2 linked regions of the Rhinolophus ferrumequinum genome follow. The main gene of each other region encodes a partner of the protein of the gene in region 2 in a complex. Links are inferred from orthologs where the notes say so. Each region holds a gene or a part of one and is shown on either strand. Other genes may lie near its edges.

Region 1 (7,000 bases), on a different chromosome or scaffold from region 2:
AGACAACAGATAGGCTCACTTAAGGTAAAGATTGACCTTTGTTAAGGAAGCTACAGGCCAAGCATATGACTTCCCTGCCATGGCCCACCTTAGTTAGGAATTTTTATGTTCACACTGTCCTATGTGGTCATTTTCAGTCTCCTGAGCTTGTCAGGTTTAACATGTGGTCCCTTTTCTGTCCACAAGGCAAAGAAGGATTCTTTCTCCCCTAGAATCTTCGGAGGGATTGTGACCTGGCCCTCCCTGTATCTGAACCTCAGAATTCTGGCCTCTAGGACTGTGAATTAAATTTTTGTTTTAAGCCATCAAGTTTGTGGTAATGTGTTACAGTAGCCACAGGAAACTAATGGAGGAACAATCATGATTTTAAAGGGTGATTTAGAGGGTCTAGTGCCTTCTCTGCCTTACCTGCATGAGTGTTTTTATCTCTTGTTTTCTGTCTCCAACCCATCTACTCCCCACCTGGAACCCTTAAAATGGGAATCAGATCATGTCATTCCTAACAATTAAAGAACAGCCCAATCAGAAACCATATGTGGGACAGCGGTTGTGTGCATTACAGCACAAGCAGGAGGGAGGCCCAAATGCGATCAAGAGGAGGATGCACAAACTAACTAGGGTATTTGTGTGATGAGGCCCACATACAGTCACACGGATGTACACTCAGGGAAGGAAACCAGACAGACGTGCAAACTCGGCGTGTTTCAATAAGCAGACCAGTGAAGCTTCTCTGTGTTGAGAGAAGTCAGGATGGCAGCGGCTATGAGGGTCATGGAGGGCTCCTGGGAGCCAGAGACGTTCCATTTTTTTTTTTGCTCTCAGAGCTGATTCTGTAGGGTGCTTGCTGTATGTAAGATGTGTGTGCTTTCCTCTACTTATTAAAGCCTCCATCAAAAAGTTAAAAAGTTCATAGAAACAGAAAGATGATCAGTGGTTGCCAGGGGCTGGTGGGAGAGGGAAAGGAGAGTGCTGATGGATACAGGGTTTCCTTTTGGGGTGTTGAGGTGGTGATTGCACAACATAGTGAATGTATAAATTGCCACTCACTGACTGCATGCTGTAAAATAGCTAACATGATGAATCTGATGTCATGTGAATTTTCACCACATTTTAAAAACAGCTTTAAAAGTAGTAGAATCCAAAACTCATCTTGTAGCCTACAAAATTGGCAGACTCCAGACAGTCATCATCTCCATGCGTCTGTTTGCCCTTTTATACATGTACTGAGTGCCTATGGTGGACTGGGCCCTGGGCTAGGCATGGCAGATACTGCAGTGAGCACAAACAACTTGGAGCGCCTGTCTTTGTGATTCTCTGTAGTTGAAATGTGTAGGAAGAGAGGAACCAGCCACGACCCCAAAGCTCTTATCAAAATCTGATTTTTATGTGTGTGGTAAAATATACACAACATGAACTGTCCAGTTTTACTATTGTAAAACATACAATTCAGTGGCATTAAGTATATTCATGTTGTCCTACAACTACAACTGTCTAGTTCCCAGATGAAATCTGTGCAGATGGAGTAAGAGATTGGAGTGATGCAGTCACTAGACCTCCCAGAGAAATAGCTTTGGGGGTGACACCTGAAGGTTGGAAGGAGAGCCAGGTGCAGGTGTGGAGTGTGGGGAAGGGAGAAGGTGGCTGCCCGCAGGCCTTGGCTGCCCTTGGTGCCGTATGAGTGATTCCTATAGTTTCCACCCTTGAGACCTGTCTGCAAAGCCAGGATGTAGACAATTTCTAATGAACAAGGACTGGAAAGGGTGAGATACTGTAAAGGGTGGACGGGGAGCACAGGGGATGAGAGCAGAAATGACACTGACTGCTCTGTCTGACCTAATGGCCGGGGGTGGGGGTGGGGGGCAGAGCCAAGATGTACCTGTCTTCTGGATCTCTGGATAGGCTGCATCTTCAGAGAGGACCTTTTTGCAAGGGTTCTGCCCTGGCCTTGCTTGCTTGTATGCCCACTCTAGCTCAGCTAGTCCTGGGATGCCCCTTTTGCCCGAGTCCGCCTGAACCTGGTTTCCAGTTGATCCCCCTGTCCCAATGCCATCTTGGCACTTCCAGAAGCCTTGGTTTCCCTATTTGGACAAGGGGGCTGGCAGTGGCCCAGCAGTGGGTGGTAAGGCCACTCTCCAAGGCCTGCTGCTGGCACCCTGCCTGTGTGGCCATGTACTGGGAAGGTCCAGGGCCCAGGAGGAAGGGGAGACTGTTTAGAGAGAACAGGATAGGCCTTGGCAGGCCGTTGAAACCACAGGACCAGTTACCAGAGTCTAGTGAAGGGCAGCTGTCTGGCAACTTCTAGGTATGATGCACCCTGCTCACTTCCCAGCTCCGTATGTGCCCAGTCAGCTTCAGGGCCTTTGCACTTGCTTCTGCCTTAACTGTCTTTCCTGCAGGTGTTTGGGGACAGCACCTACGGAAGCCCACTCCCACACTCTTTACCATCAACTACTTATTTTGACTCTCTGGTCCCTGACCCACGTGCCCCCCTCCCTCCTTCGTCTGCCCCAGGGGCCAGGGTAGGTATGGGTTACACCCCCTTTGGGGCCCAGCGCAGGACGGGGTCGCCCAAAGTATCCAGCAAATACTACTAAAGGACGTCACATCTCACCCTATGGGCGGCCAGCTACCAACTTTCCTTCCCAATTACCAGAGAAAGGAAAAAAGAAAACAAGGGCCCGCGGCCAGGGCCTCGGAGGGGGTGGGTGGGTGGGTAGGGGGGGGGTTGGGTGGGTAGGGGGCGTGGCCCCACCCGACGCAGCTGAGGGGGCAGCGTCAGGCTTGGAACAAAGGCAGGCGCCGAAACAAAGCCCCAAGGCCCCCAGTACCCTTCGGGAACAAAGGCTACGCCTATCTCTCCTGGACCAGGCACGCCTCCGCCGCCAAGGGTGGCGCCTGAGGAGCTAGGTGAGGGAGGCTGCAACTGCTCCCCCTGCAGCCTCGGCGTGTGCGAGCCAGGGAGACTCCGAGCAGTGTCTTGCGGCTCTGCATCCTCTCAAGAGCTGACCCCGGCAGACAGGATTCACTTCTCCAACCCTGCTTCCCTCCCTAGAAGTCCACCTCCGTTGAAGTTCGGTTCGGCCACCTGGAAAAGCATCCAAGTCAACACAGATGCTGGCTGGAGACGGGAAGGGGCGCTTGGTGGGCCAGGCGTGATCTCAAGACTCGCCGCTCTGTAGCCCCTTGGGACCTATTCGATTCGGGCAGGTTTCAGTGTTTCTCACGTTAAACAATGAAAAGGTTAAAACCGAAAAGTCAGCCTGCCAGATCAGAACGCAACTTCTTTCTGGGATGGGAACACTCTGCCCCTTTCTCGGGCCCGCCGTCTCCTCCAGGTCTTGGCCCCGCCCCCTCTCCCGAACGCCTATTGCAATGACTGGAGACGTCTCCCGGCCGCCAAAGGGGCGGGGATTGAGGTGGAGGCCTGGGCTGACAATCCGCGTGCGCAGCACAGCGGCCAGACTGTGGGGCCAGAGGGGAGGTGGAGCACTCTCTAAAAACCGTGAGCGCGTTCTACGTTGCGGCTATAACGTCAATGATGCTCCGCCCTGCCTCACAGGCGGCGCCGGGGTGGTGCCGGCGAAGGTAGGAGGATCCAACTCAGGCGCGTGCGTACTCGCTGCCTCTTCTATAGCGATCGGCCCGGGCCCCGCCCCCAAGCTCAAGGCGCCCAGCGCGCCTGCGCAACGGCGTCGGCGCCAGTTATTTCTGTCCCGCCCCCGAGCCGCGGCTCTTTCTGCGAGTGGGCGCACGGGCGAGCGGTTGTTCGCGTTGCGTGTCTTGGGTCTCCGAGGCCACCGAGAGGGAAGCGCGGGCGTCGGCGTCGGCGGGAGGCGAGCAGGCAGCGGCTGGCCGTGCCTCGGCAGCGCCCTGCGCGCAGCGGGCGGAGGCCCAGGCGGCGCGTGGCGGCGCTCGGCCTCGCGGCGGCGGCGGCATCGGCAGCTACCCAGCCGTTGGCGGCGAGTGCATCTGCGCCTGCGCGGCGGGCCCCGCGCCCCTCCTCCCCCTGGGCGCCCGCGGCGGCGTGTGAATGGCGGCCTCGGCAGCAGCGGCCTCGGCCTCGGCGGCGGCGGCGGCAGCCGCTTCGGGCAGTCCGGGCCCGGGTGAAGGCTCGGCGGGCGGCGAAAAACGTTCCCCTGCCGCGGCCGCGGCCTCGGCGTCGGCTTCCGCCTCGGCATCGTCGCCTGCGGGGGGCGGCGGCGAGGCGCTGGAGCTGCTGGAACACTGCGGCGTCTGCCGGGAGCGTCTGCGGCCTGAGAGGGAGCCGCGCTTGCTGCCCTGCCTGCACTCGGCCTGCAGCGCCTGCCTTGGGACCCCGGCGCCTTCCGTCGCCAACAGCTCGGGGGACAGCGGCGCGGCGGGGGACGGAGCCGGTGGGTACAGTCTGACCCCGCCCTCCACCCGGCAGCTTTCGATCCCGACCTGGCGCGCAGATGGGGAGTTTGTGCTTAGTGTGTGGCGGGTGAATCGGCTAGGCGAGAGGATAGGGTCCCGGAGAGTGCTCTGCCGGGCGCTGAGATGGGGCGTGTGCTTCAAGTTCGATGAAAGAAGGGTTTGTTTGGCTTCTGTTCTGGGAGGGCAGGTCCGGCCCAGCATGGGATGCCTGAGATGGAAACTGGGGTCCAGTGGGACGATGGGGTTATATATAGTCTGGATGTGATCATGGAATGGTTTCAATTCCTTTTATTCTCAGCAGTCGTGGATTGTCCTGTGTGCAAGCAGCAGTGCTTCTCCAAAGATATTGTGGAGAATTATTTTATGCGTGACAGTGGCAGCAAGGCTGCCGCTGACTCCCAGGATGCGAATCAGGTATGTTCCGTTCTAGCAACATTTAGGAGGCTTTGGGCCTTGGGGAGGGGTCATCAGCTCAGGGGCATGGTTATATTTCCAGTTTATTCTTCCTACACTGTGAGCATTTGGGCAAATTGTTCAGGCTAGGTAAAGGCACCACTTAACGTTTCTTGGATTGCAAATGCCAGCATTTCTGGTGGTTGTGTTTCCTGACTCTACCTTTGCCTGGCAGTGCTGCACTAGCTGTGAGGATAATGCCCCCGCCACCAGCTACTGTGTGGAGTGCTCTGAGCCACTGTGTGAGACATGTGTGGAGGCACACCAGCGGGTGAAGTACACCAAGGACCACACCGTGCGCTCCACTGGTACACAAGGCGGATGGAGGGGGGCCTGGGTTCCCCTTCTACATAAGTCTTCAGCTGCTTAAGTGGGTTGCAGATGGTGGATTTGTCCCAGGACCTTCACTAGGGGGCACTACCTGAAAGGCCTGGTGGCAGAACTCAAAATCAGAAGATTGGGGCTCTGGTATGCGGTCTTATGGTCCAGGTGGGGGAGGGGGAGAAAGGCCCCCGGTGCTGCGGAGGGCGGGGGGTGTGCACAGGAGACTGAAGAAGCTCACAGGGACCTACCTCATTGTGCCTCAGAGTGTACAGAGGGTTCAAGGAAGCTCATCAGGGGAGGCTCCCCGCTATCCCCCCTGTGCAGACAGGGAAATGCCTGTCTGTGGTGGAGGAACTGCCCTGTGCAGACAGGGAAATGCAGGGTATTTGGAGAGAGATGTGAGGGGCCTTCTTGACTTGGGGTTCCTTGGCACCTGCCTTAAGGCTCTGTAGGAGAAAGGCCCTCCAGCCACAGCGTCTTGACAAGCTGTGAGGGCTGGCCTTCGGGCCATTACTGCCAGTCGTTTTATCTTTGGGGTGTGGGTGTCTTAAAGCGCAGCTGGGTATTTCCAGACTTTCTGTGAATGCTGGCAGTGGTATGGCAACTGACTTGTTAGCTTTCTGAGTCTAGCCTGGTTTTTCATGTACAAGTTCTGAGTGGCCTTTTGGTAGTTACACTGGCAGCTTCAGCACAGAGGACAGTACTGGTGGGAAGATGAGGATGGCAGTGGTGGCTGTGCAGCATGAGGAGCGAGGAGGGACAGGCAGAGGATCCTGGATTTTAGGCAAAGGTCAGGGTGTAGGATGAAGTAACATTGAAGGAGCTGATGCCTGGTTTGTATCTCAGTATCGCATAACTCAGGCTGGGTTGGTATTGCCGGGATGTTTTTGGGATTGAGGAAGAAAGCGGAACAGACTCCCAAACAGCTTTCTAATGGTGACAGACACTGGGTGGGGAGGGGGTTGTAAATGTGGTATACTGGTCTTTGGGTGGTATAACAGTACCGGGACCTGTCGCCCCCAGGGGGCCTGACACCTTTTTGAGAGTCCTGGTCTGACACCTCATTTCTGCCAGCCTGAGGAGGCTCTGCAATGCCGCCTGAGGGCCTATGGCTTGTAAGGTACACGGCCTTCTCTGAGCAAAGAAGAGGGGAGGTCAGCAGGCATGGCTCCTGAGGAAGCTGCCTGAGTGGTGCCTCTAGGCCCTGATTCGCTTTCTGTCTGTGCCAGAAAGCAAATGTTCTTCGTGCCCGGGATGCCTCAGTAGCCAGAAAGCCCCCCTGCTGGACAGAGCCTGCTGTGAGTGGAAGAGAAAGGGAACCCAGTGGGGGGTTCGGAGGCGGAGGAACTCTTTTGAGTGTCCACCTGGAGAAGGTTCCAGTAGAGGGACCAGCAGCGGGGAGGTATCCTGTCAAAGGCCATCATCCTCACACTGCCAGAAGCTGGAGGGGGTGGTCTCTTGGTCAGGCTTGGGACAGGAAGCTTTGAGAGGAAGGGTCTGGGCTCTGGGGCCTGTGCTCTTCCTGGGCCCTGGTTGCAGGGCCCCTGGGTTTTCCCAGTAGGTAGCCCAGGGCTGCAGGACAGGCAGGAAGTTAGGCCCCGAGTTGGACATGCTGAGGTTGGGCTCCCTCCTTAAGATACCCATTTCCCAGGGCCAGCCAAGTCCCGAGATGGCGAGCGCACAGTGTACTGCAACGTTCACAAGCACGAGCCCCTCGTGTTGTTCTGTGAGAGCTGTGACACCCTCACCTGCCGGGACTGCCAGCTCAACGCCCACAAGGACCACCAGTGAGTCCTGCGATAGGGCCGGGGTGGGGGCTCTTCTGTGT
Region 2 (7,215 bases):
TTTTGTCTAAGTGTTTAAGGAACTTTTAACGTTTTTCTTTGAAGTCTAAGTTTTCCTAGGATATGTCTTGGTGTTGGATATCTGGGTTGATATGCTTAGATAAACAATGTTCTCTTTCAATATATAGTTTTACACCTTTATAATTTTCAGTTTCAGGAAATATTTTTTTGAATTACAGTTTTGAGTTATCTCTTCCATTTCTTTGCTTGGGTTTCCTTTTGTAGTGACTCCGATTGTAATTATGTTGGATCTTCTTTGCTTATCTTCAATATTTATTATTTTCTCTTGAAATCTAGTTACCTTTGTATTTTTAGTTTTAGTTTTTTTCCCTTTCTACCCTCTATTTCTCTTAAGGCATTATCTCTTACATTTATCGGTGTGTTACATCTAGGTTAATTTTTATTTCTAAGATTTTTTTTTCTTTTACTTCTCTTCCTTTCTTAAGTTATATCACTTCTTTCCTGAGATTTTTAAACTCTGGTTTATGTTGTTCTTCCATAGCATGTATCATTTTGAAGATCTTCGGCTTATTGTAAAATTTCTTTGTGGTTATCTGTATACTTAGGCACTTTATCTAGTTATTAATATCATTCATTTACTCAACACATATTTATTGAGCATGTAGATAGGTTTGTAGCCTGAAGTTGAACCACACTAGCCAATCAAGCTCATTGTTTTATGCTACTCAAATTTTGTGGTTGTTTGTTATGCAACAAAAAGCTAATACACCATATTTATAATTATTAAGTTCTATCTGTGTTTATCTCAGCAGAATACTTTTACACCATGAATTCTCTGTTCTTGAAATCTTCATTTTTGACCCTATCAACTGGATTTATGTCTTCAGAAACATTTTAAGGAAATATATTTTCCAGGAATTAAAAGTTTGAAATTTTTTTTTTACTTCCATAAATGAATGACATATATGTGATTTAGAAAATTGCTGAGTCATAATACTTTCCCTCTGAATCTTTGTAGATATTGCCTCATTACCTTTTGGCATTTAGTTTAATGAACAAATTTTGACTGATTTTTTTTGTCCCTTTGTAGGTTGTTAGGTTTTTTTTTCGTGTGAAAAAAAAATGCTTGCAAGACATTTTCTAAATTCCTCAAACTAAAAAAAAAAAAAAATTCTTCAGCATGTTTTTAGTTCATAGCCTCTCTTAATTGATTCTGTCTTGAATTCAGTGCGCTCTTTCACTTGCAGACTAATGAGAGCTCATAAACATTTTCTATTATATTTTTCATTATTTATTCTACTCATTTTGTACATGTGTATTATTTCCTCTAATTATATTAATTAATCAAAGGCTGTTCCTCAGTTCTCTGACTCCTATATTTATCATTTCTTTAAATCTCATGGATTTCATCTCCTTGTCTTTTTCATCTGCATTCTAGGGGGAAAGGTGGTTTTCCACTTCTTCTTCCATATCAATAATTAAATTTTTCTAGTTACTTTGAAAAATTGTTAGGTGTAATGAGTTATAATCTGTAAACGGTAAGATTAACCCCTTTTAAGTCTACAGTTGAGTAAGACTTGACAAACATATTTAGTCACCACCATAATAAGTCCACTCTGGGAAAAGAAAAGACAGTAGAGAACCTACAACTGACCTTTGGAAAATGGCCATATTTTGGATCAGAAGGAAAAATAAATTAGAGGACTGGCTTTTTAGCCCCACTTACTGCTATCATTATAGAAGATTTCAGGGCCCATATAGAGAATCCTTCCACTCTCTTGGCCCTATTATGGGCTGAATGGTGTCCCCCCAAAAATTCATATGTTGAAGTTCTAACCCTGTATCTCAGAAAGTGACTCTACTTCAATACAGGGCCTTTAGAGAGGTAATTAAGTTAAAATGTAGTCATTAGGGTGGGCCCTAATCCAATAACATTGGTGTCCTTCTAAGATGAGGAAATTTGGACACTGACAAGTACATAAGGAAGACTATGTAAAGGAGAAGACAGCCATCTCCAGGAGAGAGGCTTAGAACAGATCCTTCCTTCATGGTCCTCAGCAGAAGTCAACCCTGCCAACTCCTTGATATCGGACTTCTAGTCTTCATAGCTGTGAGGAAATAAATTTCTGTGGTGTAAACCAACCAGTCTGTGATATTTTGTTATGGCAGTCTGTGGTACTTGTTATATACTTTCTCAACCTTTTGATCCACCATCAAGCAAAATCTCAAACATGGACTATTCCAATCCTCCCAGGTTATTTAAAGAATGCTGCAGAACCACCCCACCCTTACAACTGGGCAAGAGTGGTTCCTGTATAGGACCTAGTGCCTTAGAGGTTCAATCTAGCTCTTTTCCAGCTGTGCCCCACCCCAAAGATCAAGGAATCCGTGGGGATAAGAAGACATATTAACTCAGAACCTATGCCTTAACTTTTAGACAGTGGTTTTATGTACCTGGTTTCTGAAATTCTTTTCTGAAATTATCTGTTCACACAACTCCAAAAAAGCTAACAGTGACTTTTCCCCAGTCATTCTTGCTGATGGCCAACAGTGCTTCTAGTATCAATATCCTTAGGCCTAACATGTAGCAAAAGGCCCCTAGGCCCAAGAGGTGACCAAGCAGTGGGGCATGGGTAGGTTTGCCAAATAAGATACAGGACATCTTGTTAAAATTAATATCAGACAGACAACAAATAATTTTTTTAGTATAAGCAAGTTCTGAATATTGCATGGGACACACTGATACTAAAAAAGTATTTGTTGTTTATCTAAAATACAAATTTAACAGACCATCCTTTTTTTTTTCCCCCAACAAATATGGCAACTCTAGGTGGGGTCAGAATTGGACAATTTAGCTGGGTGACCATATGCATGAGAGCAAGGCCCATAAACGGTATTGGAGTGGGGGTGGGGGTAACATAGGAAAGCCAGGATACATGGGCCAATCTTATTTCCTTGAATCACCCGTATTTTGTCTGACACACAGGAATTCTAAATTCATCCTCATTTTCCAGGTCATTTTCAAAACAGGAAAATAGAACACATCTTCTTTTTACATTTTTTAACTGTATTTATGATAGTTAAATATTTAGGTATTTGGTACGCAGGTCTCCGTTTTAACTCTTGCCCCAGCTGTACAAAATGTCAAAGGGTTAGGGCTGCTGCAGAATATTGTCCTGAGTCATCACCAACTATATTTAAAAGATGAGGAAACTAAGGCTTAGAAAAGTTATATATAATTTGTTCAGTCGTTCACTAGTGAAATCCATTTTCAATGTTAGATCTGTTTGAATACAAACCAAATATTTTTAAATTACATATACAGTATGGTGACTACAGTTAATAATGCTGTCTTGTATATTTGCAAGTTGATAATAGAGATCTTAAAGGAAATATTCTTCATCACCAAAAATAATTTACTATTTGTAAGTTGAACGTATCCTTTGATTACATCATTTAACATGCATGCAAAAAGCTAGAGCATTTCGCGGGATATCAAAGATAGGTATAATGGAAATCCCAGTTGTTCAGGCTTTTGTCCTGAATTTTATGGGTTCAGACACTTGTTTTGTAAGTGTATCCACATCTGACAAACCTATGGGTTAGTGTTATAATTCGAAACACTGACTTATAAGACAATGCGAATTTAAGTTTATAACGACCAATGTATTTGGCAGAATGATAATTCGTAGTAATTCCTTTTAAGAGGATCAAATTATAATTCCAAACTGCCTTAGTCTAATGTTAGAACAACAGGAGTAAATACTCTTAAGGTATTATTTCCATCAAGATAGGTGAACTGTCATATTCCACTCTAAGAACAACCCAGACGACAGTGGGGAGGCAGTTCAGATGCTTTGAAGCTCAACATACCTGGGTTTTTACTCCTTACTAATTAAGTACTTAACATCTGCAGGCCTCGGTTTCCTTATTTCGTAAAAATAAGATTCCTTTAATGGTTCAGATTATACACGTAAAACATTTAGCATATTATCATGATACTATTTATATTTTACATAAAATATACATTATAACATCAAACATTATATATTATTGTTATGCTATTTATTGTCATTGTTCTATTTATTACTGTTCTATTTAACAACTCTCTAGCTAACCTGGAGAAACAGGCCATAAGCGCTCTTCCCAGAGAGAGGGGCGGGTACGAGTTACCATGACAACAGCGCGCGCGCCTAGACATTTTCCGCTGGTGCGTCGCTGGGGAAGAAAAAAGCCTAGGCTGCGTGTTGCGTCATCACTACGCGCTCGTTGGGTTTCTCTGTGCTGTTTTGGAACGTCCCGGCCCGGCTCCTGTCGCCGCAAGCCAGGAATTTTTTTTTTCCCTCCAATCTTTGTTACATCGCACCAAGACTGCAAGACTGTAAGTACTGAAAGAAGAAAGAAAGAAAACGGGCGAGTGAGCATTGAAACAGATGCCGCGGCACACTGCCCACCTCTGAACCTTCCCTGTGTTTTCTTGATCCTATCAGCTTCCTCTCAGCTGGGATCGCGCCGCGTCAACTTCCGGGCGGGTGCCCGCCAGCACGGCCTCCGCCGCTCCCCTGCTTTGGCCCCTTTGTGTCCCCGCAGTGTCGAGGCGCGGGCCCTGGCACGTCCTTTCTCGAGGCAGGGTGCACCGTAGGGCAGGGAGCCTCTTACTGTGGGCGGGCGCACGGCCCCCAGGGGGGTTAGAGTGGGGAACGTGCCTGCGCGTGCTGGGGTAAGAGGAGGTTGCACGAGGGTCAGCTTGTGGTTTGAGGAAGGAGGGGCGTGGGGGGTGGGGAACGAAGGGGAGTAAAAGAAGCAGTGGAAAAATAAAATAAAAAAAGATACCCCGTCCACCTTCTAATCGTTGTGGCCTAACAATGAAGCGCAGCCATAATGGCCATGCTGAGCCTCTGGCACATTTGCGGGCTCTTAATTGCCTTGGGAATGAACTGCTATGGCTTTGTATTTTATATTGTTTTCATGGCCTCTTTTTCTCTCTTTATTTTCTCCCTGCAGATAGTTCATTTAAAACTCCCAACCCCACAGGGTGGTGGTTTCTACCAATATGAATCTTTTCAACTTGGACCGTTTTCGCTTTGAAAAAAGGAGTAAGATTGAGGAAGCGCCTGAAGCAACCCCTCAACCCTCCCAGCCTGGCCCTTCTTCACCAATTTCTCTTAGTGCTGAAGAGGAGAATGCTGAAGGGGAAGTTAGCAGGGCAGGCACCCCTGATTCAGATATAACTGAAAAAACAGGTGAGTTATGATGCAAATTGATGTAGCATCAGGAGATATTTTTAAAAGATGAAAGGCAGAAGTGATATTTTTATTCTTGATGTTATACCTAATAATGCATTGTTTTACACCGTACCCTTTTAAATACAGTTTTGGGACTGCCATAGACATCATGTATCTCCAACTAAGTGTCCATCCATAAAAGCTTCACTTTTATTCTTGGAAAATGGCCCTATGATGGAAGTTCAAGTCAGAATTTAGGTTATCCTTAGGTCAGAGTGGTTGCTACTAGAAGAGGAACTAAGCGAGTCAGTCCTATGAATCGCCTAGTTATTTATCACCTAGTTATTTGGCCAGACATTTAAGTTGATTCCAGTATTTCTCCAAAAATATTGATCACCTATTATTAGCTAAACTATTCAAGGTGCCTGAAGACAGTCTCTGAATAAACGAAGATCACATTCAGATTTTGCCACTACTTCCTGGAGAGCCTCTGAGTGCTCAAGAATAATTGGTATTGTTCATGGTGAATGAACCATTTTTAACCTCCAGCAGATTGTCAGGGATAATAGGATTTGAGAAGAAGCCAAAAATTAGCATTTCCATTTTAATCTTATGTTCTTTGGGCAGTTAAAAATTTAGAATATAGTTGAATTCTTACTATGTTTAGGCATAGTGCTTAGTGCTTCACATTTTCTCATTTAATTTACACAGCAGTCCTACTAGATGTCTACATTTTGCAGAAATGAGATCCAGGGAGGTTCAAGTGTTAAGAAGTTGGTAGAACCAGAACTCAGAGGCAAGCAGTCTAATTCCTGACCTTAAACAGGAACTGTACACATACAGTTTCTGATGAACGGTAAAAAGGATATAAGAAGTTTTAATGTTTATTTCTGTAATACCTTTTTAAATGCAAAACTCAGTATTTCACAAGCAGCTTTTAGATTAAGGTGGCCCTGACGAGATTGGTAAAATATATGCCTTAGCTTAACCCTGGGTATCTCTGTTTTTTTGGTACTCTTGTATTTAAATGTAACAGTGATGGCAGAATCCCTATAAGTTATAGAATAACATTTTAAAATACTTTAGTGTAATTGGAACATTGGGGAATGATATAGTAGGTTGAATTAAGTGATAATTAGAAGTCAGATTTTGAAAGGCTTTGTCTTAAGGGTTTTGAACTTGTCTGAATTCTGTGGGGAAGAACTGAAGGATGTTAAGCACAGGAGGTATATCCCTTTGTTTATTCTTTAAACAGATAATTTGATTCGCATAACATGCTGTAGTTAATGTCTAAACATCCAGGTACTTTACTACTTTAACAGTAAATGCATTAGTATGTTTCTTATATAGTTAAGGCAGGGAAGGGCAGGATTGTAGGCATGAATTTTGAGTCCTTAGCCTCTGCTTCTCCGTTTTAGTTAAATGTGACATTGAACAAGTCATTTAAAATCTGAGATCCACAATTTTTTCATTTGTAAAATAAAAGCACTTTGTAAAGTGGAAATCAATGGAATTTTTAGTTATTTATCAATATTAGTAATGTAAAATTCTTAATTGCCTTTTCTAATCAGATGCTTTTTTGCATTACTTTTTTTTTTGTCTGAGGAGACTTCACTCCTTTTCATTGGGACTTCAGGAATCTCGTAGTTAGTCTTCATGACACTGGAAAATATGAAAATTAGGTTCATCTGGGAATGGTGAGAATTCATCCTATGAGGAATAGAGAGCTTTGGTTTAAAGCACATTATTGTAAATGGTACTGTGAATTTTGGAGAATCTTGAAAACTAAGGCTAAATTTTGACTTTACATTTTGATACTAGGGATCCATTAAAAACTTTAGGTAGAAGGATAAAATGAAAGAAAGTTGTGTAAAAATCAGTCTAGCAGTTGTGAGTACTCTATATTTTTAGAGGGTAGGGCTTGAAGGGAGAGAAATTTCTTAGGAAGCTTTTATAACGCAAACTTAATAACAGCAGTAGAAATGGAGAAAAAAGAGATGTGATTTTTTTTTTTTAAATTAAAGTTATGG

The links. The genes of interacting proteins can lie anywhere in the genome.
Region 1: the proteins of SMARCAD1 (region 2) and TRIM28 are in contact, whole or in part, in a crystal structure (PDB 6H3A), measured with the Homo sapiens proteins. The link is inferred for Rhinolophus ferrumequinum from reciprocal best matches to the Homo sapiens genes SMARCAD1 and TRIM28. Residues at the interface, in NP_001362784.1 of Homo sapiens: Asp156, Leu157, Ala160, Lys161, Gln163, Thr164, Glu167, Leu168, Phe169, Asp188, Gly189, Ala190, Ala192, Leu196, Ala201, Gly202, Gly203; in NP_005753.1 of Homo sapiens: Arg330, Trp333, Thr334, Lys337, Ile338, His341, Leu376, Lys377, Ile379, Val380, Asp381, Val383.

The regions. Positions count from the first base shown.
Region 1 is NC_046298.1:50,976,860-50,983,859, forward strand, and holds the start of TRIM28 (transcription intermediary factor 1-beta), read left to right. Parts: upstream 1-3,981; 5' UTR 3,982-4,030; coding exon 4,031-4,373; intron 4,374-4,693; coding exon 4,694-4,809; intron 4,810-5,023; coding exon 5,024-5,156; intron 5,157-6,401; coding exon 6,402-6,470; intron 6,471-6,823; coding exon 6,824-6,959; intron 6,960-7,000. UniProt on the Homo sapiens protein: Nuclear corepressor for KRAB domain-containing zinc finger proteins (KRAB-ZFPs).
Region 2 is NC_046288.1:46,988,461-46,995,675, forward strand, and holds the start of SMARCAD1 (SWI/SNF-related matrix-associated actin-dependent regulator of chromatin subfamily A containing DEAD/H box 1), read left to right. Parts: upstream 1-4,203; 5' UTR 4,204-4,341; intron 4,342-4,474; exon of another isoform or gene 4,475-4,680; intron 4,681-4,964; 5' UTR 4,965-5,013; coding exon 5,014-5,203; intron 5,204-7,215. UniProt on the Homo sapiens protein: DNA helicase that possesses intrinsic ATP-dependent nucleosome-remodeling activity and is both required for DNA repair and heterochromatin organization.